Linked DNA regions of Oreochromis niloticus. The protein of the gene in region 3 interacts with the protein of the main gene of each other region in a biochemical or structural test. Links are inferred from orthologs where the notes say so. Each region holds a gene or a part of one and is shown on either strand. Other genes may lie near its edges.

Region 1 (7,655 bases), on a different chromosome or scaffold from region 3:
ATAAGCTGTAGGTTTTAGGAAATGCTGTCCAGATAGCAGTAAAAATGCTGTTTACTTTCAGTGGTTTAATAACACGGATATGATGTCTTGGTGGGTATTTACACGAGCACAACAGTTTAAGTGTGATTGACCTGAAATTAATTTCACAATCTGTGGTCATGGTAATGAGGCAAAATAATGCCATGTTTCCCAGCAACAACATGGCTCTATTATTTTTTAATATAAAATATATAAACATAATATTTCATTTATTTTGGGGAACGGCAAAGCTCTGTGGAACAGACAAATTAAAAAATATCAGACTTTGACCGCCGACTTCAGCTCTCGTCCTGTGGTTTGTAAGGACGTCTTTCTCTTAATAAACTGCACGTGCCCAGTCTGACTTGTTTTTCCTGAATCTGTGACATATTTTGTTTTTAATTTGGATCTAATTGCTCTAATTATTTTCAATATTATGGACCTGATCACATTCCTGAGTATGGTTTTGAACAAGAAAACTGATAATTAGCCAATCAGATTCAGGAGGACTTTAATCATCCCCAGAGGGAAACTGCAGTTGCTTAAGATTGTGAAGTTGTAAAATTTAGTAATAAGTTTTAATAATTGAAAATGAATGTAAAAAAAATACAATTTAATTCGGCAGCAAGAGGATGAAATGTGTGGATGGCCACAGGAGGTTCAGGGAAGTGTTTAGTCGTTATAACTCTGGGGGTGAACACACTTCTCCGGCTGGCCAGAACAGCGTGCGAAGGGTGGGAGAGGTTGTCCATGATGGAAAGGACTTTTGACATCTTTCTCTGTGCAGACTGGAGATTGTCCAGCTCCACCCCAGTGACTGACCCAGCCTTCCTGAAATGTTTTGGTTTCGTCCGTCATCAGGCTTTTGTCCAAGCAGACTACAGTGTAGGAAACGGACACCACAAACTCACAGGAGATCTGCAGCATGGTGCCACTTAAAATGAAAGTGTGGAGCCTTCACAGAAAAACAATCTTAGCCTTAGCGTACTGAAAAAACGAGTAATACTGCTTGTATGTGTTATTTTATTTCCATTTGTCTGTTTTTGTTGTTTTAACTGGTTACTTTTCTCATTTTATTTCACTGTGCTCTGTAAATCTCTCTGTAAATGTGTATATATGCAAAAATTATTACTCTTACTCATGATTATATTCATCCTGGATCTCCTCGTCTCCTTTATTTGCTGATGTTGAGTTGCACCATCCTTTGATATTTCCAAAAAGCATACCATGTATGTATATTAGCTGTGCACATGCATTTATTTTTATTGAAAAGCACTAAATAAGGATTTTCATTATTACTGATCACCTTCTTTTACCAAAGCAAACAACGGTAGAGTGAGCTGCAGTATATATCTGGATTGCAATGGAAACCTGTGCAGCCCAGATAACCCGCCACTGAATCACACCGGAGCCCCTATTAACTCAGTGACATTTAATGATCCCATTCGGAACCAAAACTTCCTCCAGGCAGCCCATCTTTTTTCTAACTCTTGGTATTTTTTTTTAAAGTGTAGTGATGATCTGGTTTTTATAATTTAGCCCACATCTTCCTTCCCCTCAGTAAAATGGTGGATTATTGCCAGATTAAGGGAGTGCCTTTTTCTTTATCCCTGGGTAAGCCTGCACAGCACGCAGCTCAGAGGTAATGAAGCACTCTGTGATCCGTGCCCGGATGAATCTAAAAATTCCCAGAGCACCACTGTATTTTAAAGGAAATGAGATTTCCCTGAAAGCCTCCGAACCTATGCTTCCCATTTTGAAATGGCTATAAACTGTGGGACTGCTTACAACCTGGTGCAAGAACCTCGACTTGTTGCTGTTTTTAAAATCATTTCAATAAGCACGAAGAGGAAGTTTGACATTGTAACAAATACTGCCGAGGAAGTGTTTGCTTTCTTTGCCTGAGAAAATGATAGCGATTACTAATTCCAATTGAGTCCGCTTATTTTTCAGTCTGACATTTAAATCTACAATTGCCGTGACCTTTACTGACCACCTGTTCAGTCGCTACTAAAAGATTTCTGACAGGCGGTTTATTAAAGCATCCTGGTGTTTTTACAGTCCAGCGGCTGATCCGTGAGGGTGACTGTCACAGGTACTGAGTCATTTATGTGAGTAGGAAACAAAAACTGAAATTAGAACAAAAAAAAATCTGGTTGAGCAATACAAAGCAAAAGTCATCAGCTGTCTGGGAGTTTGAACAGGAATAAAGTTTCTATGTTACCCAAGACTGTCATGCAGAACTGAAATGCTCGTCTGTTGCTGGTGGCTCTGAATGACAGTCCAAAGACATTTTAGTCAAATCTATCATCTATTAAAAAAAACTAAAGAACACTCTTGATCAGTTTTTATGCCTTGGCTATGAGGCATCTTTTGTCATTTTTGTAAATATTAATGATTATCTTTTTCTTTCCTCTGGAAACCATAAGGCTGCTGTCAGACACTGACTGATAGAGGATGCCGAGTGATCTGTTGCAGACACCGAGGGACCCCGGTCTCCCCGAGAAAGTCTACTCTGACCTGACTCGTCCATTGCTTCAGTTTTATCAGCTTCAGTCAGTTGAGTGTTGATGTGAGCCTGAGGTGCGAAGGTGACCAAACTCATCACGCTGGATGATTTGGCCCTCCCAGCTTTTTTGGCCTTACAGCCGTTGTGTTGTAAATGGTTCTTCTTTAAACTGCACCACTTTGCAAAGGTTCGGTTTAGTAGGATTTTAAACTGACGGACTTTTACTGGTAAAAATATTCCATTCTACCTCAAACAATATGCATTCCTTAACCACTGAACAAATATATATAAATTTCAACTCATTTAACCCCAAAGCCATTATATTTATGCACTTTGTTAACAGAATAGCTGATAATAAATGTTTGTCATTCAAAATAACAGTTACAGTTATTTTGGAATCACACAGATTACATATGTCTGCATAGAATTATGTGCCATGATGGTGAAATATTTCATTTGTTGCTTGTAATCTTTAACCCTCTTAAAGCAGTAGATAAAAAGTTTGCTAAAGTTTTTAACAATAAAAGAGAAAACAAAACAAGGGCTGGGGAACATAAATGTTTGCACAAATGGATAACTTGGATAAGGATTTATGTACACATCATGTCCATTCTCTCAACTTCCTTCTGAGTTACGGGCAATTTTTATTTGTGACTTTAGGAAAGTAAGAGCTCTCAAGAAGCACTTAAAGGCAACGTAACAGCAAAAATGAAAATATACTGACATAAAACCGAGGGTAAAGGATCGCCACTAGACGGTGATCATCATTAGGGCAAAACCATCTATCAAATTTATATCGAGAAAAGAGCCAAATTATGCTTTTACAATAGAGAGTTTTATCAAGCCAAACAATTATGAGGTGAGCTGCACACTGCATCGCTTGTTATAGGTCAATGGAAAAAAAGAGGAGGATAAAAACAATCCAGGGCTGGTAATGCACTACAAAACCATTTGGCTGAAAGTCATTCACTGCACTGATCATTTAGGATGGATTTTTATAAAACAAGAAATTAGCTGGCCCACAGCTGCATGCGTAGCTTTGTTTCTCCAGTGGTTTCCTTCCTTCCTGTTGTCAGTATTTTAAAACAAGAGGGGATCTAAGACTCAAGCGTATGAAAATTACTTCTATAAAATCACTGAAATCAGATGCAGATCTTGGATATATTTAATCACACTGAATTGTGAGCACATTCAGAGTTTTGTTGACAGTGACTGACACTTCCATGTCTATTAACCCTTTTTTTCCTCTTCAACATAACATTTGAACCATGTTGTGGTTAAATGTATTAAACTCTGGTTTAGGTATACCCATTTTTCAGACGGCCATTTACTTTGGATAGTTATAAACTTTATTCTAGCCATTACACAGTTAAATCGTGAGTATTATAATTCTGCACGGACCTAAAAATCTCCCCAGTTTCTTTAATATTCCACTATAAAATTTGTTAATGACAACAATAGTGGTGTAGTGGTTTGAATTCAGGATTAAAAAAAATAATAATTTAAAGAGTAGTTTGTAAAATGATAGAAGTGGGAGGATAGGATAGGAAGCTGGAAGCACTAATATCACAGAATATTGATGTGAAACTACATCATTGCCAGGAACACAAATAATGAAATTATAATGTGTTTTGCTTTCTGATTGTAGGTCATCAATTCACGGAACACGATGTTACTTTTTAAGAAAATAGAAATAAAGCCTTTGCTTGAATCATTTCTTCGTTTGTTTGTTTGTTTGTTTTTTTGGGGGGGGGGGTACACTAATTGTGTGCCAGACAGCACAGCTACACAGCTTCATCGCTCCTTTGCACTAACCCCACAGTCATACCTGTCCCTCTGCTACACCAATTTTTGAACCGATATGAATGGAGTGAAAATATTAGAGGGGGGTTTTTAGGAGCCCCTCTTCTTGAGTTTCCCTCCTGTAACGCCGAACCCATAGGTCAGCTCCTGGCTCGAGTTAGAGAACAACCGCAGGCTGTGTGTGCGTTCAGGAAGCTGGAGAGAGGGCAGTGTCGCTCACCTTTCACTGCCATACTGTAACAGGCGTTTGACATGAGACAGCCCCCTAGGTGTCTCACTTTCTCAGTGTTTGTATGGACTGGAGCGCAGCGCCGGCTGCCCGCCTGCCTGCTGCTCGTCTGACTGGCTGCGTTGACGTCAGCGCCGTGTTGATTTGCTAAGGCGAGAGAAGAAAGGACTTAGTGCATGTTCTGAAAGCGGGTACTGCGAACTGCCTTACTATGCTGTAGCCCCAATCCCCCTGCACTATCCGGAATCAAAACGTGCAACTTAGGTGAGTACCAATCCGGGCTAAATGCAGCTGCAGTTTCCCGGCGACAAGTGCCAGACCCGCTACTCTGCATGTGTCTACCACTGTTTTCTTCGCGTACTTTCATTCACCATATGGATGTTTTGATGTGTTTATAGTGCTGAGGATCGGCTTTTTTAATGCGTGTCCCCGTTCAACCTCACGCTGAAGTTGACTGCAAACGCGACTTTGGCATGCGAGTTGGACTTGCGCACCGGAGTTCTGGATGAAAACAAGTGTTTACCTGATTGCGCTGCAAGGTGTTGAAGTTTGCATTAACGCACTGTAGCTCAGTGTAGAGATGTTAATGTTGACGTAACCCCCCCTTCTTCTTCTCGGGCTCGTTAGTATTCTGGAGATCGCAGTCAGAGGACGTGAGGTCTGGCTGTTTCACGGGGAGCCAGACAACATATGACGCCTCGCTGCGTGTGACTTTGAAATCGCGTTAGCTTGTTTTGGTGGAAATTTTGCCCATATTTTTTTTTTTTTAAGACGGCGACACTCATGCTTGTCCTTGTGTCTCCAGACGCACCAGCGTGGCTTATTTAGCCGTGATGACATCATGATGGGGGACTGGAGACACTGGTTTTTACACACGAAACAACCGTAAATCCAGTCACTGTACAGGCGCACTGCAATTGATTGACAGCCAGCTAAATGTTTGATTGGTTACCAATAATCGGCTCGCCGTAGCACGCGCAGCACACTGTGAGGTGGGGGAACTGGTAACAGATGCGATGGCAAATTGATTTGTTATCGAGTGTGTCTGATCTCTCTCTTCCCCTTTCACTCTTTTTTCCTCTTTATCCCTTAGGCAGCTTTCCCGAGACCAAACCCCCCTTCTTTCTCCTTCACTGTAACAAGGTAGCGCTACAGTGTTCATCCTGCCTCAAAGTCCACCTGTGCGTTGATCAAATGAGAGCTGGCTCAAATCGGAGACCCTTGCCTGCCGTCTGTGTCGCGTGTACTTTTTTAGCAGGCACCGGTGTCTGTTTGCCCCCCTCCCCGTACCATTTTGATCTCTCCGCGTTTGTGTCTGTCAGTGTGGCTCATGGTCTGGAATATTGAACGCTGTTTATTCTTGTTGTGGCTGGCTCGTCAAGGCGCGCTATGGCAGACAACTCGTGATCAGATTGATTATGCTGCCTCTCTGTGAAGTCGGCGTGATGTGGTTATTGTCAGCGGTCCATATCGTTCTCCGGGGAGGAAATCTCTCCAGGCTTAATGTACTTAATGTAGTACGTGATGTTTTGCGTAACGCATAATGTTGTGTATAATTTGTCTGGTGCGTCTGGCTAAAATTAACGCCGTCTAGACGCACGCAGCCTTTTTCCTTTATTAATAGAAAACAGACAAAGTCCCCAGACAGCAACTTTACATCCCAGTGAAGCCACAGTTTAGTTGATAACCCACAGAGTGCAACAAGCATTGATCATTTACGGGGCCATAAATCGGCGCTATTGGCATACCTGCAATAAAGATAATGTCGGGTTTTAGGCATGATCTCTGTTTACTGAGAGGCTAATTTCAGTTAGAGGAGAACCTGTGGTTTTATCATTACCTACATTCTACATCGATTTTTGTCAAGGTACGGAAAAGACAAACCGCCCAGTGCCCCAAAAGCCGGGAGAATTATTTTCCGTGACTCTCAGCACTAACAATAGGTGCAGCATCATTTACCCCCTGAATATTCAGATTCAGTGTGTTTAGATCATCTTATTTATATATTATAGAAGGTTTGGCAAGAAAAGGAAACCTTATCGTTTTTTCAAGGTTTATTTTTCCTTTTCAGATGATGTTTCTTCTTTCTTCCTTTTCTTTCTTTCTTTTTTTCTTTTCTTTTTTTTTACAGGTGTGAAGGAAGGGAAAGAGCTGCCCAAGTTGTCTTTTTATTCCCTGTTTCATAATCTTTAAAAATGAATTTGAAGATTATTATTAATAAAAACAATAATAATATTACAAATTTAGACAGCGTGTCACTTCTCACCAGACTTCATCTGACACACTTTGTCATTTGTCATAAGCCTGACGTATTCACTCTTCAGAGAACCTAAAAATTTGCCCTCAGAGAGCTTTTGTAGGTCAAAGGCGACACTAATCTGGTGACCATTCCTGCTTCACTTGGAGTAGGTGCAGTGGCAAATAACTGTTTAGTTAATTGGGACAATGAAGAAGCAGCATAGTTCAGTGTTAAACTGAATGTAGTGGTGAATCTGTGTATGCAATCTAAGCCAGCTTTAATTATTTTTTTGGTGCAGGTCAAAGTATAGGGTTGTGGGAGCGTGTTGCGTTGTTAACTTCAGTAATCAGGTTAACAGGAGTAGGAGGAGGACAAATTTGCGATTTTCAACATTAGCGACTGGGAGCTGTGTTTGGTACAGCAGTGTTGTGTGCTTTTTGCCTCATCCTGCTTTCCTTTCCACCCATTTCTGGCCGCTGCTCTCTGCTCCCGTCTGTGATGAGAATACTGAGTAAGATGCTATTTAATTTCAGAAAGGCTGCTGATGGTCTTTGTGAAGCGAGCGGCAGTGAAAACCCACAATTCACACTTGTTTAACTGGTGTACATACCGATTAGATAACTAAATGAAGACATCTTTTTAACGTAACATATGTTGGACTGATTGGTATGCAGGTTGAGCATGTTGGATGGCTCACAAATTGTTTCCCTTCAGAAATCTACAGTCAATACTCTCTGCTGAATTTAAGAACAATGCCACTGAGCGGAGTGTTTACCACCCTGGCAGGATATTTGCAATTGCCTCACATTTGCCATTTAGAGAGAGAGAGGAAGAGGTGGTATGTTTTAAATAAGCAT
Region 2 (6,891 bases), on a different chromosome or scaffold from region 3:
AGTTGGGTTACAGAGTCATGTGGTTTGAGGATTTATCTGATTCCAAAATAATACTGTCTGACACTGGATTTTCATCCGGGCACTTATCACAGGCATTTTGTCTGTAGCGTGACGATCATATAAACAGCAGATTCTTTTCACATTACTAAAATTTTCATCAGGAAAGTTGCAGTGATCGACTATCACAGTGCACTGCATATTTTTTTTTTTAGGTTCAAGCCCACTGTGTCAGTGAAGCGGTATTATTCAAGTAAGTCAAGGAAATGTAATGCATTCTCTTGCACGGAGCGTGAGCACAGCTTTTTATTTTAACGACAGATCTGTAACTTATTGACCTGCCTTTAACATATTAACAGTTTGGACTTACAGATGAGTAGCAATGGGTATTTTGATAGGTTTAACACTTTCCATTATCATCTCCCTAGCTACGTACAGGCAGGTGTTCAATTCAGGATTAAATTGAAATCTTTTAATGGCACTCCAGCTACCTGTGCAGACCCTTCGAGCATGAGATTCAAAATCTTTGTTCTGCTACAGAGGGACAACAGAGCACCTAACATGAAAAGATCTGTGCTAGCTGATTACATTGTCAACAAAACTAAACCCACACACAGCACATAAGACTTCTCATGAACTGTGCTGGCACAAGGTCACTGGAGGACAATGAGTTAGAGGGGAATTTAGCTCATACAATGAAAGCAGAAAGACATGATGACGCTATAATCAGATATGGATTGATGTACTACTTGCTGAGCTGACACACAAGACCAGAAGGGAATGGCTCAACAGTATGTAAAGCCACAAGCTGCAATATGTACTTACTGGGATGAATGGGTCAGTATCACATGCAGGGGCCACGCACAGAATAAGTAGGTTATTTACACAGAGATAAACCTGTCCGGGAATATGCCCACACATTCACATCGTCGCACCACATCTGCTGTTTCATGTGTCAGTACACTGGTTTTCTTTACACTATGCTAATATCACTTGTGCCCGGGCAAATTCTCAAGGCAGATGGCATCACATAAGTTAATAGCCTGCCACTCCGGCTGACCTTGGCTGCTGTAAAATAAAAAAATTAAAAAAACAACAGTGCCAGGCCCACTGCCAGAGCTAGGCAGCTGCATTCGCTCTCCGTACTGACCATCACTGAGTGACCTCTGCCAAACCCAGCCTAAAAAACAACCCATGTTTTCATTCATCTTTAATACCACTCCAGCTGAGGGAGAGGTGTAGTCGCTTAGTGAAATCACCTGGTGTAACGTTTGCCTGAAATTAAAACCTGCATTCACAGAGCTGTTAATGTTACACGGTGCAGATTACCTGGCTAGACTAATGCTGTGCCACTTTGCGTGCTTTAATAACCAGAGTAACAAGATAAGAGTCTACAGAGCCATTTTGTTGCCTTGTTATTCATTAAACCTACCAAGGGTCTCGCCTGGATGATGTAAATCTTTGTTTTTTTCTGTACGGTGTAATCAGTTGGAGGCTCCAGAGATCAAAGTGTGCAGCAGCTCTCCAGTCTTATCACTGTCTCACACAATACAGCTTTTATTTTATTTTTTTCCTTTGCCCCCTTTTCTTTTTCTAACTGAACACCCTTTACAGCAAATTCCTTGTGTCTCTGTCATTACAGCAGAAAGTCGTGGCACTCCGTGGTACTGGTTGAGAAAGGGCCCTTCTGCACAAAGCTGACATAAACCCAGAAGTAAACTCAAACAAACCCCGAGCCCTGTTCCCTCTGCACTCATGCTGCATTGCCTAAGAGTGTGCAATGTTTCTAATATCACTCCAAGCTTAGTTAAGACCCTCGACCCCCACCCCCCTAAAAAGCAGTGCATGCAAAATACTTTGCTTTCCAATTACAGCATATCTGACATGACATACCCTGCTCATCACAAAGCTCTGAGCAGTGTTGAGATAAGAAACAACTAAAAAAATAAAATAAAAAAAAAATCACATCATTACTTGAATTACATAAGGGGACCACCGACCCATGCTGCATGCCCCAGATACGGCACCAGTCACTCTTGAGTAGGTACACTGTGGCTGCCGTCTGGGTCATTAACCAAACGGATGCATGTGCAGAAAAACAAATAAATAAAAATAATAATAAAGCATGCATGTTTACAGTTTGTGTTTCCCAGCAGCTCTAGTGGTCAGACCTTTTTTTTATTTATTTTTTTTTACTGGCAGTGATGTCAGCTGAGAGGGGTGAACGTGCAGTCATTCACTGCTCCTGTACCTGCAAGCTTTCAGGCACACCAGCTGTTGCTCGAACCGGAGCAGTCCAAGTGGCCGGTAGTTATATGATCCAAAGATGCTATTTAGTGCACGGTGCTGGAGAGCATTTCGCTATCTAGGGGTGTCAACTTGTGCATAAAAGTTATATAACTCCGCTAAAACAGTAGCACAAGTTAGCTTTCGGGCTAACTAGTTTGCTCACACACTCACCTCCGTCTTGGTTATGCGGTGTCGGGCCAACTTCACCACAGCGAAATTGCCCTTTCCTAAAGTGCGCTCGATGTCGTAGAAGCCCACTCGGACCGGACCCCGGATCAGCGGTTTTTGGACACTGTCAGCCATGACCATGCTGTTCTAAAACGGGACTGTTCAGTGGAAGAGTAGGAGGCAGCCAGACGTGCAGGGACACACGAGGGGCAGACTGGGGCTTACTTGAGCAGCTCGAGATAAAGACGAAAGGAAAACAAACCGCCCGCCACCGCCGCTGCTGCCACCGCCGCCGCTCGAAGCGTGTCCATTAAAAATACACAAAGTTGATTTCTGTGTCGCCCTCGGCCGCCTGAACGCGACTGTGGCGACCCTGTCCGCTAGTGTGGCGATACGAAGCTGGCCATTTGCTGAGCCCGCGGGCTGTCACACCACGTTCTTCAGTACAATAGAGCTATAATATTTCAGCTTGAGGCGCCTCTATCAGCGACAGAGCACACGAGTTGACTTGCAAAGAGGCATCATGTTCTCCGGTTGACGTGTATTGACGTCAAAGCCATAGGGGTATTTGTACAGGGGGCGGGGCCACCGAGCCGCTCCACACTTCAGTGCCAATTGGTTGCCAGGACAACCAGACCCACCTCTTACGTCAACCGGTAAAATTGCTATTCTGAAATCTGTTTGCTCGCCTGCCCTTCTTGATTGCACGCATAGGTAACTTTGAAGTTTTTGCCCTGCAGGTGTTTAATAAGCTTTTGTCGGCTGCGAGTGAAAAATGCAGGGGGAGACAGGAGCTAAAAGCGGTCTGAACCGGCCTGAAAGCCTCCAGAGTGGGGTCTGCAAAAAAAAGTAAAAAATAATAATTTAAGAAGCAAAAAACCAAACAAACAGCTAGTGTTGCTTTTATATATATACATACATATATATATATATATATAGATATATATGTGTGTGTGTGTGTGTGTGTGTGTGTGTAGCTGATTAATCCAGCTATGCAACTGCATTTCTAATCTATAACATTACATAATGGAATACACAGAGCCTCATATAAAATCAGACATTTTATCAGCCACAAAGAAACTTTTGTCAGCTACATGACAGCACCATCTGTTGGCAAAAGTAGAAAACTGAAGCGAGGCTCCATATTTTCCTTTTCCCCAGTGCTTGACTTATCACGCTTCATGCTTTCAAGCAGCTTTCAAGCAGATCCCACCAGTATATCTATATTATTATTAAACAAAGAATGCAGCCAAAATATCTTAACTACACATCAGAAAAAGAAACTATCTTCATGTCTGAATTGCAGCACAGCTCTGCAACTGGCACTGCTTTTCTTCATGTTGTGTAGTGACAGTCAAACAGAACAGTGGATTGCTAAGCAGGCAGGCAGAGCAGTGCTCCAAAGGCCTCCGCTGTCACGCATCGACTTCCTGAATGTAAGAGTTCCAGATGTGCTTTTGGCATTTCCTGTCTAACATTCTCCAAGAACACACTCAGCCTCTCCTTACTGGGCTTGCTACATCTTTCCAAGACACCGATCCAACACCCACTCGGTGCACATTTAGAAAAAAACACAGACATTTGTATACGTAACGCAAAGAGTGATCTTTAAAAATGAACATGGAAATGCACATGCATTGATTAACGGTGTGATATATTCTAAACTGGCCTCAAGTTTCTGTCAGATCAGTGGGAAAGTTGAACCTCGTGCACAATCAGGTGGAGTCAGGAAACCGCACAACTTTGAGGTTTATTTTGGCCACAGCAGTTCAGCCATCGGTGTTTCCTCATGTTCTCTGCTGGGCTCTGACATCAGAGACCAAACAGGAAGCCTTACACAGGGATGACACCAAAGTTCAAGTTTAGAGAAAAGGTCAAAAAAGTCCCTGGGTTGGAGTCTCCATCACAGCAGCAAGCCAACACGCAAACCCTCTCTGTCTTCTGACTCATCATATCCATTGACATTATTTTAAAAAGAGAAGCTGAGTAGTTTAATGTACAATTGTTTACAAAATGAGTAACCCTGTGGGGGTGCAATATTACAGGATTAGGCTAATTGCATAATCTGTTATGTCAGATTCAGCAGCACTGCTGCACCACCAAGCTGACCTGAACTATTAATGCTTCTTTGGTTTCATTAATGCCTCCTAAAACCTCTAAGAACTTTAGTGCTGCTGTAATGTTGCATAATTTATTAGAGCTGAAGGTTTAAACTGAACAAAGGAAATAAGTGGGCACAAAAACGTGTTTTTCTTTGAGTTGAAACATAAAAAATTACTCAAAGCCCATTCCGTTAGTTTAGCTTAGAGACCTGTACATGACCTACATCTTTAGCTGCTTGATGAATTGATCTTACCATTTATTCAGTTAACTTAAAATATAACACAATTTTTAAGGACAGCATTATCAGCAGTCTATCAGATGGCCTGCCTCTTTAGCCTGAATTACTTTAATACAGGACCAAAATTTGCCTTGAAAATTTGTGCATTCTCCCCAGACAATAAATAGACTAATGCTTTTGATATTCCACTTGAACTTTTCTGTAATATCTTCACCCACTTTTCATTAACCTTATGAAATATTGGAACCTTTATGACATGATTTGGTTTTGTATTTTTGCAGTTTCCAGCCTATGCATTTCAGTGCATAGCCTGTAATGTAGTAATGCCACTATAAGATTAGTGGATTACAACAAGGGTCTCAACAGCTGTTGGATGGATTACTATGAAATTGTATACACACATCCGTGCCCTCTTCAGAATCACTTTGGCAGTCCTTTAACTTCTCATCCTTTTCTTTTTCAATCAGATTCGATTAGCTTCAGCTTTATTTAGTGTGTGGAACTAGTCTGCAATTTTGGGCATCCATACTATGATGGTGAATATGGAAAACAATGTGTCTACATCTATCAGCATGCTATCACAGTGATTCACGGAGCTAACAGTGCCATTGGTCTGACTGTAACACATTTTTATTAAAACATCAGAAATATAAAGTCATGTGTAGGTGAATACTGAGTCATGGACAAAACATTAAGAATCCCTGTTTTATGGAATACACTGATTTGCAGACACAGTACATTCTACATGCAGGACTAGAAAACTGAGTGAAACCTGTGCAGATATGGCCAAGCTGCTTAGAAATCCTGCACCGCACAGTGTAACTGTAGTCTGTCTGTGGTTGACGGACATTTGCAGACACCGGTGTTATCCATAGATCTCATTTTCCACCCATCCAGTCTGACTGCGGCAGCGCCGGCTTTGAGCTCTGCAGGGCTCGTAAATGTCATTGGTGACAAAGCCGCTCTCATTGTCCACACACGACACATTCTCATAATCGTTGCACTGGGAGTCATGGGACGGAGAACCGGAGTACTTTGTCATGATTTCTGCTGCTATCCTGCTGTCCAGAGCAGTGTGAGGCAGTTTGGTAATGTCACTGTAGGCATAAGGTCCTTGCACAGGGCAAGATGAAGCTGTTGCTAGCACCCACTGTTTTGATCTGCTGGGATAGCTTTCTGTTTCTGTCTTCCTCCTAAATATGAAAGAGGGCCCAAGTTAAAATCAACAGGACATACTCATATAATCAAATGCATTTAAAAAAAAAAAAATCTCTCATAGCTTTTTATAGTTATAGTTTTACCTCTTAGCATGCTGTTTGTAGCAAAAGAAACCAGCAGCTGCAAACAACAGCAACAGCAGCGCAGGGATAGTTGCATAAAGGATGTAGGAAATGTTGAGGGTGTTGCCAGAGAAAGATACTGCGAACAAAAGAACTTTGCTTGTGACACAGTGGTTTTTCATAGTTTCCCAAAACATACTGCGCTGACTCCGAGCATCAAGAATATTTTCTTTCCTTTCTTACCAGAGGATTCAGGTAGTGCTATTTTTATCCTTTCGTTACTTTCTGTGGTTGACAGTATGCTTGGAATCACAGATGGAACTGGAGAAACCAGAAAACAAAATCAACAGGTGCGTGTGAAAAATATTTTAAATGATTCGATTAGTCCCTAATTTATCTCTATCTATCTATCTATCTATCTATCTTGTTATCACATAATGTATGATTTCACTAAACTCACCCATAGATAGACTATAACAGCTGACGCATATGTTCTACTGCAGAGGACAGTTGCATTTTAATTTCTAGAAAATTTAGCAGTTAAAAAAATAGAGTTCTCCAGAGAATACGTTTTGTATCTGTGTGTTCTTCATGTTTTATCTTTATATGGTTGGTGGCTGGATCCTTGGCTGCTCCAGTCTGCATACCAAATATGCTTAGGCAAGATACTGAACCTCAGGTTGCTCCCCAACGCATTTATCGGAGTATGAATGTGTGTGAAATTTAGCTAGAAAGGATTTATGAGTAGAAAAAAGTGATTTATGAATAGGTGTGCATGGGTGAATGACGCATGTAGTATAAATATCCAGCCCATTT
Region 3 (7,261 bases):
AGCTGCGAGGGAAAATCCAGTCACCCACAGGCTGTGAGAGCGAGGAGCGACCGACGAGAGGAGCTCCTGCAGCCTCGTCAACACAATAAAAATACAGACAGAGGAGCAGCCGAATTCCCCAGCTCTGTGTGCATCAAAGAATCCTCACGCTGTTCTCCTCCTGGCTGACGAGAGGGAGGAGGAAGAGAAGGAAGAGGAGGAGAGCAAGGAGGAGGAGAGGCAAGGACGTAAATAGCTTTGGGAGAGCGCTCCCCGAGGTTCCATGTTTCCAAAATTAGAACGAAGCACTGAGAGAATGACAGAGAGAGAAGGAAATGGAAGAACGCTGGGATGGCGAGTTTTTAGTCCTCACTGAGAAAATGGGCAGCAGGAGAGGAGATGGTACGCTATCCTCTTATCACAGGACAGAGGACAGAGGATAGTGGAGCTCCACACAGCGACCACAAACAGCTGCTGGTCAGACGGCTAATATTCACTGACTGAGAGTCACTGATGACTGTGTGTGTGTGAGAAACGCTCACTGAGCTACTGAATGAACGTCGACAGAGAGACAGGAGACAGAGGGAGGAGGGTGACCGAGAGAGAGGCTGAAAGTAGATCACTGGGTGGAAAGGAAGTTAGATGGATACAGAGAAAAGTCAACAACAGCTCATTTTACTTCATAGAAGGGAGAGGGAGCAAGGACACGAGAAGAGAAGAGAAGAGAAGAGAAGAGAAGAGAAGAGAAGAGAAGAGAAGAGAAGAGAAGAGAAGCATTTACAAACACAGGCGATTGGGGTGGGGGAACGGTGCTGAAAATAGCCTGCCAGGGTAGAGGAGGAGCTAGAGATAAAAATAGACAGAGAGAGGGGAGAGAAGGAGAGAAGGAGGGAGCAGTAAGCCTGCAGCTCTGGGGTGGGGATGGGAGGGTGGCGGTGGGTGCTTTCATGTTTCTGTGCTGTGCTTGCCAAATACTGTATGTCAATCAAAGAGTGTGGGTGGGCACTGTGGACCTCTTCTCGCTCTGCTAGGTCCACGACCCCCCTTTTTTTTGGGTGCACAAATTGTGGCCATGCAGGTGTTTATGTTAACTAGCGGCGGGCACTGGGGGATGGCACAGTCAGTGTAAGATTGCAGTGTGATATCAGCTCCAGGCATCCACAGTGCCAAGAGGATAAAGCCTACTCATCTGCTGAATGGTCATTTAGTGCCACCAGCTGGCCAAAGTCTCCACCTGACCAATAAAATATGTCAACATTCAGCCAAAGGATTGGCCAACATTCATATCTCCCAGAGGAGGAATCCTGATAACTGTTCCATTTAGTACCACCATCAGGTTGGTGCTGCAAATGGTTCTGCAGCTTTAAGCTGTACTTGCTGTTAAATTGCATTAACAATATTGTTAATCATTGTTTTTGTGAGGCTTCATTCACTTAACCCTTAAACAAGTTTTTATTGAAAAGAAAAGTTGAAGCCTTTAAGACACTTGTTTGAATTAGCTATAACAGTGTTTTACCAGTGGTTGTATTAAGATGTTATTATTTGATGGCTACTTAACTTTTCCTATTCACTACCACCATTTCTTTAAGAGCATCTGCCACTTGCCAGGCTGCCAATACGTCTGTGGTCTTAAGGACTTGCTGGGTTAAACAAAGAGTACACAGCCTCACTTGCACCACCTTGTGGTTAAAAGCTGGTAGTGAAAGTACAGCCCAGATCTAGTTAGGCTTCCGTTAAAATCTCTTAAACACAATACAAAGATGCTTTGGACACAAACTCACAACAGGTTTTTCACATTTTGTTGAAAGATGTCATTTTCAAAATGGAATTTAAATTAAGTATAACTACAAGACTGTGCATAAGTCTTAAGTCACCTCTGATTTCTTCCCATTTTGCTTCCAGTGAGCCAGACCTTTTTTTTTTCTTATATTCTGATCCTGAGCAGTCGTTCTCCAGGCTTCAGAAGATCTGTCAAAATTTTTCTTCTATTCTTTCCGACATTTTTCAGTCCCGTCCTGACTGGACCGTTTTCAGAGAAGTGCTTTTTTGTTAGACTATTTAACACTGACCTATTCAATTATACTGGACCATTCAAGCATGTCTACACATATAGACACAACTGATCAAAGACATCATCTTAGATAGTATCTTTAGGTAGTCTAAAGCCACTGTTTAGTATTACACATTACAAATGAAACAAGGAAAATCTCTTCATGTTTTGTGTGTCTGAAAGAAAAAAGGACGTCAGCCTATCTATGGGAATATCAGGTATTTAAATTGTGTCATGATGGGGTTTTTAAAAAAAAGACTGGACAAGAAACAGTCTTCTACATCACTTTGCGCAAACACCTCACTTCCAATAGAAAAATGTCAGAGAGAATCCTGCAAAGACTTCTTTGTAACTAGAAGCTACACGGCTCACTTTGCTGTCAGCGTGGATATTATTCATTGAAACTGCTCTTTATAGTATTTGTTTGTTCCATTCAGCATTCAGTCATAACAGAAGCTACACATTAAGAATAGGTTTTGGTCCTTGTAACAAAATATAATGGGGTGTCTCTGCTGCTGGCAAATGCAGAGTGCAAGGATTAGAAAAACAAAAGAGGAGAACAAACCGAGCTCTGTGTAATCAGTGATAATACATTTAACAGACGAACAAATCCAGCAGACCAGCTCAGGACTCGTCTAATTCATGTATTTGTCTGCTTTTCATCTCTGCGTTGACCACTGTCGCTGCTGTTTCCTTTCCAGAAATGTTTCTTTGAATCATTTTATCATCACTTCTATCCCACCTCCTCCTCATCACCTTCATCTCCCTCATCATCCTCACCTCCTGTGTAAACAGCTCCCTGTGTCCTCCAGCAGATCTAAGGCTGCCTCAGTATGACTCACAAGTAAAGACTATATACACAGCAAAGGGAGAAAATGTAAATACAGAAAGTTAATTTGAAGTGTCCTGTCTTGTTGCACACCGAACAGGCTGCTGTGTTGCTGCTCTGTTATCCAACACTATGATTATTTATTAAAGACTTGTGCTGTTACCTTAAAATCAGCCTTTCGTGTGTTTATGGTAGCAAGTGAAAGGGACGCGACTGTCCAGGCAACATGTCTGACATCTCAGTGGTCTAACATACCAAACACATCTACTAAAGGTGAGTGTGTGTGTGTGTGTGTGTGTGTGTGTGTTTGTGTGTACTGCAGCAGCTTGGCGGATGACTCATCTCTGCGTTTCTATTTGAGGCGCATCAACCCCTGGAGTCACACTGCTGTCTGTGCGTGCTCGTGTGCGCGTGTATCTACTACATCTGTATCCATGACAACCAAATTACAGCCAGTCAGTCACCCCATCACTCGTCCCAAGACAAAGCTGTCAAAAAAGCCGTGGGAAGGACGCACAGGTACATACTACTCACACATATACAAACACGAACGAAGTTAACCAATGCGATCCAGCACATGGAGCAAAGCAGGAGTCAGAGCTGTCGTTACATTCACTGTGAATGAAAAATGTCTCCCTCACCTGACTAACACCATCAGTAGCAAATATCAAGCATTTTTTAAAATCATGAGGACTGTCGGCAACTCGATTTAAAGACTCCAACCTGGTCCACTCAGATTTCTGACATAAGTCATGTGTCCCAGCATTTAGTGCCCTTAAACATACGCCTACCAGTGATGATGTAAAACGAGGATGACTCACAAGTGTTCAAAAACTTATTACTTTCGTTAAAGCACATGTCTGCAACGACAGCCAGAGACTTGTAATATATTAATATATGCTTTTCTTTCCCAGCATGCTAGCAGCTTGACATAGGAATAGCAATGATGGTCAGTTCTCCACATGTGCAATTACCACCATTTACTACCTTTAGTCTATAGTGCAGAGGATGAATTCTATCACGTGTGCTGACCCCCTCACCTTTCCTCTCGTACCACCATGACACTGGCATTTTTGCTGCCATTCAAATTATATGCATTAACCTCTTGAGCCCCAAGGGGTTTTCTGAGCTTCCTGCTGGAAAATGCAATGCCTCAATTAAATTGATTATTTCTCTGCAATTACAAACTCCGTCCTTACAATCTTTGTATCAAAATGAAGCCAACACTTGGGACATTTAATCAGAGGTGTAAATATTAAAGCGGATATTACTGTGTCAAAGTTACTGAGACTGGAACACAGAAAAAGGAAGTAGATTTTATTCTCGCCTAATTTTTTTCTTCTTTTGCGGCTAATTCAGTGAATTTTGGTCCGATCGTGGTCAAACTTCGTGTGTTTACGCAGTGATAGCCCTGGAAGCTAGCCAGCCTATTTATAACCGGTTACATGAAGACTGTCTGGTTCTCGTTTGCGTGTTTAGCGGACTTCTGCGCATTACGTAACTGCTCGTTTAATCGCGGCTTGTTTGCGGTGTGTTTGGTGGTTGTAGAAATGGTTTATATGACATTGTAGCTGAGATTCTGAGGTTTCTGTGGATACCACACATGTCTGGAGTTATATTTCTCAACCGGCGTTATAACCGATTAAACGTGATCTCCTCCCTTTTGCCCCCGGTACCGGGGGCGTGGGGCTTATTAATAAATCCTTCTGCATGCTCTGGTGTCATTGTCAAGGCTGAGTTTTCATTTTTGTTTATAGTCGAGATGAGCAATGAATGAAAAATGAAATGAGCATGTGTGTATAAAATAATCAATCAATAACTGTAAACTGTTCAATAATCAAGGTTTTGATTTGAGGCCCTACACTGAAGTTACACTCCACTAGCTAAACAAATTAAGCAAGCACATTTCAAGAAAATGACTTTTCATCCTTTCAAAGATCATCTCTCACCCCAAACTACTCTCACTTGACTGCACATGCTCAATTTAGCATGTTTTGTACAATGTAATGATTTAAATGCTGTGGTCGCCTTTGGATTTGCAGCTTGCTCCGGTGACCGTACCATCAGATCCTCATTCAGTTTTGATTTCTTTCATAATGTGCAAAACTAAGATGGTAAAGAACCAAATATCAGCTCTGAGTTAACAAATAGCACTAGTGTTGTTTGTGCATCGTTAGAACAATGCTATTACAATACAACTTATAATCATCTGTCCACGGATTAGTCCCATACTTTCCCCGGTACAACAGCTGCACCATAACTCATCAACTGTTAAGCTTTACTTTTTTTTAAAAAAGCGGCGTGCACTTTAACTGCCATCAGCGCTCGAGTCAACCATGTAATTGTGCCACTTTTAGTAATACAGTCTCTGGCAGGATGACAGGTGTGTGCAAAATGTGTTTTTGTTCCATTAGATGTCTCAAAAAAGCAGATAAGAATAACTTATACACACTTTATACTTAATATAAAGTATACTGAATAGAGAACAAAATACTGCTGACCTGGCCAAGAATGACACCCCATCCCCAAAACACCATCATTAATCCCAATGAGGATCATCTTGTGTCATCACCAGTGTCGAGGGTCATCATTTGTTCCACTTCCGACCCTCTTTTATCAATATTTCAATCCATTCAACTTTTCATTAATGCTTTATTTGTCTTTTCTTTTTTCCTTTTTATTCTCAGTATAATTATTAATATCCAGCAGTAGTAGAACAAGAAAGTAGTAGTAGTGTAGTTATTACTATTGTTGTTATTATCATTATCATTAAACTTAAGTTGTTATTATTATTTATTGCTGTCTTACGTAGCAACACAACACAATGCATTTACATACATGTAACTGACGATCATGTAACATGTAACTCATGTAATAATGGATTGGATTTCATATAGCGCTTTTCAAGGCACCCAAAGCGCTTTACAATGTCACTACTCATTCACTCTCACATTCACACACTGGTGGAGGCACGCTACTGTACTGTACTAGCTACTGTAATGAAAGACTGACACCGATGCTAGCCACCAAATGCACAGACTGAGCTACAAGCTGTGTTTTAACACAGCTGTTAAGGTTCCCTAACAGTTATGTATTCACTTTTATTAAATGACAACCAAATAAAATATTTACATTCATTTTACTCAGAGGAGCATGCACTTTCAGGAAACTTGTTCATTAAAGTAGCAACATTAGCATGTTAGCAAAAATAGCTTCAAATGGAACTAATTAATATCTTAGGTGATCTTTACCATTGCTTAGTATTCATGCAATGAATGTGAATGATGATTATATGATTTACACTGACCGAGCAGGTTCTATAAGCAGGGCGAGGTGTCGATTGACTCCAGAGGGTTTGTGCAGCTCAGAAAGAAAAAGGCTAACTGAGCAAAATCGTTCTTTCTGAAAAGTATTTTACGATTTCCTGTAGAAAACGATCAGGTTGACGTGTTCTGATCTGTGTGGATGATAATAATCATCACAATATCTGTGTAACAAAGGCAAAAACCAACATGATGTAATTATACACTATACTGTGACATGTGCATATTATCACCGTTATACTAAACGAGGATGGGAGCACCCCTCCTAGGTCTGTTTTGCTGGTGTAAACACAGTATTGTTTTGTATGTTTAACACACACAGTATATTGTTGTGCAGATGGATGAAACACAGTGTAACACTCTGTAACTGGATCTAGCTTGCTCCTTATGCTAATGCAACAGCCAGTATACAAATCAGTAAAAGTAACTGTTCAAGATGTACCTACAAACATGCTGCCCAGTATGGCACAAGCTCTCAAACCAACACAGCTCTATAAAATAAGCTCAAGTCTTGCAGGGCTGTCAGTTCTGACCTGGCCAAATCTAAATTTTGACCTGACTTGAGAAAACACGGTAGATAAAGCACAGAGCGAGCTGCAGAGGTCTTTGCGCAGACACTTTGTCTGGAGTAAGTCAGGAGTAAGTCACACACACTTAGCACTGTCAGGCAGCTGGAGTAAAGCTACCTACAGTATGATGACATGACTGCTTTTGATACTGACAGCTTAGATGAGCCAAACATCTGCTAGAAAGTGCTGCTGAAGCATCGAGCCTTTTAGTCGTACTCACAGTGTTTACACAGCACTCAGCACCTTATTGAGCCAGCGCTCAGTATAATTGACCTGAGCTCAAAGCGCAACAACAAAATCACACTGCACAGTAACCCAACCACAAGAACAAGGCCAAAGTTTGCATTGCTCATATGGATTTATCAGGGAGCTTAGAACTTTGACACATTAAACACAGACACTGTATGAAAAAATGAATCCAACATTAGCAATAAGAACATTCACCAGTCCAAACTGGGCAGTTTTACGCTTCCAGGATTCAGGACCAATGATGTTAACTATTTACATATCA

The links. The genes of interacting proteins can lie anywhere in the genome.
Region 1: the proteins of hdac5 (region 3) and zbtb16a form a complex in vitro, tested with the Homo sapiens proteins (2 studies listed by BioGRID). The link is inferred for Oreochromis niloticus from reciprocal best matches to the Homo sapiens genes HDAC5 and ZBTB16.
Region 2: of the proteins of hdac5 (region 3) and sik2b, one has a biochemical effect on the other in vitro, tested with the Homo sapiens proteins (2 studies listed by BioGRID). The link is inferred for Oreochromis niloticus from reciprocal best matches to the Homo sapiens genes HDAC5 and SIK2.

The regions. Positions count from the first base shown.
Region 1 is NC_031975.2:24,768,572-24,776,226, reverse strand, and holds the start of zbtb16a (zinc finger and BTB domain-containing protein 16-A), read left to right. Parts: upstream 1-4,633; 5' UTR 4,634-4,823; intron 4,824-5,082; exon of another isoform or gene 5,083-7,655. UniProt on the Homo sapiens protein: Acts as a transcriptional repressor. Transcriptional repression may be mediated through recruitment of histone deacetylases to target promoters. May play a role in myeloid maturation and in the development and/or maintenance of other differentiated tissues.
Region 2 is NC_031979.2:21,141,109-21,147,999, reverse strand, and holds the start of sik2b (serine/threonine-protein kinase SIK2), read right to left. Parts: upstream 3,023-6,891; 5' UTR 2,596-3,022; coding exon 2,458-2,595; intron 1-2,457. Other genes in the region: laynb (layilin), read right to left, coding at 5,661-5,988, 6,097-6,214, 6,319-6,396. UniProt on the Homo sapiens protein: Serine/threonine-protein kinase that plays a role in many biological processes such as fatty acid oxidation, autophagy, immune response or glucose metabolism.
Region 3 is NC_031969.2:4,477,332-4,484,592, reverse strand, and holds the start of hdac5 (histone deacetylase 5), read right to left. Parts: upstream 3,020-7,261; 5' UTR 1-3,019. UniProt on the Homo sapiens protein: Responsible for the deacetylation of lysine residues on the N-terminal part of the core histones (H2A, H2B, H3 and H4).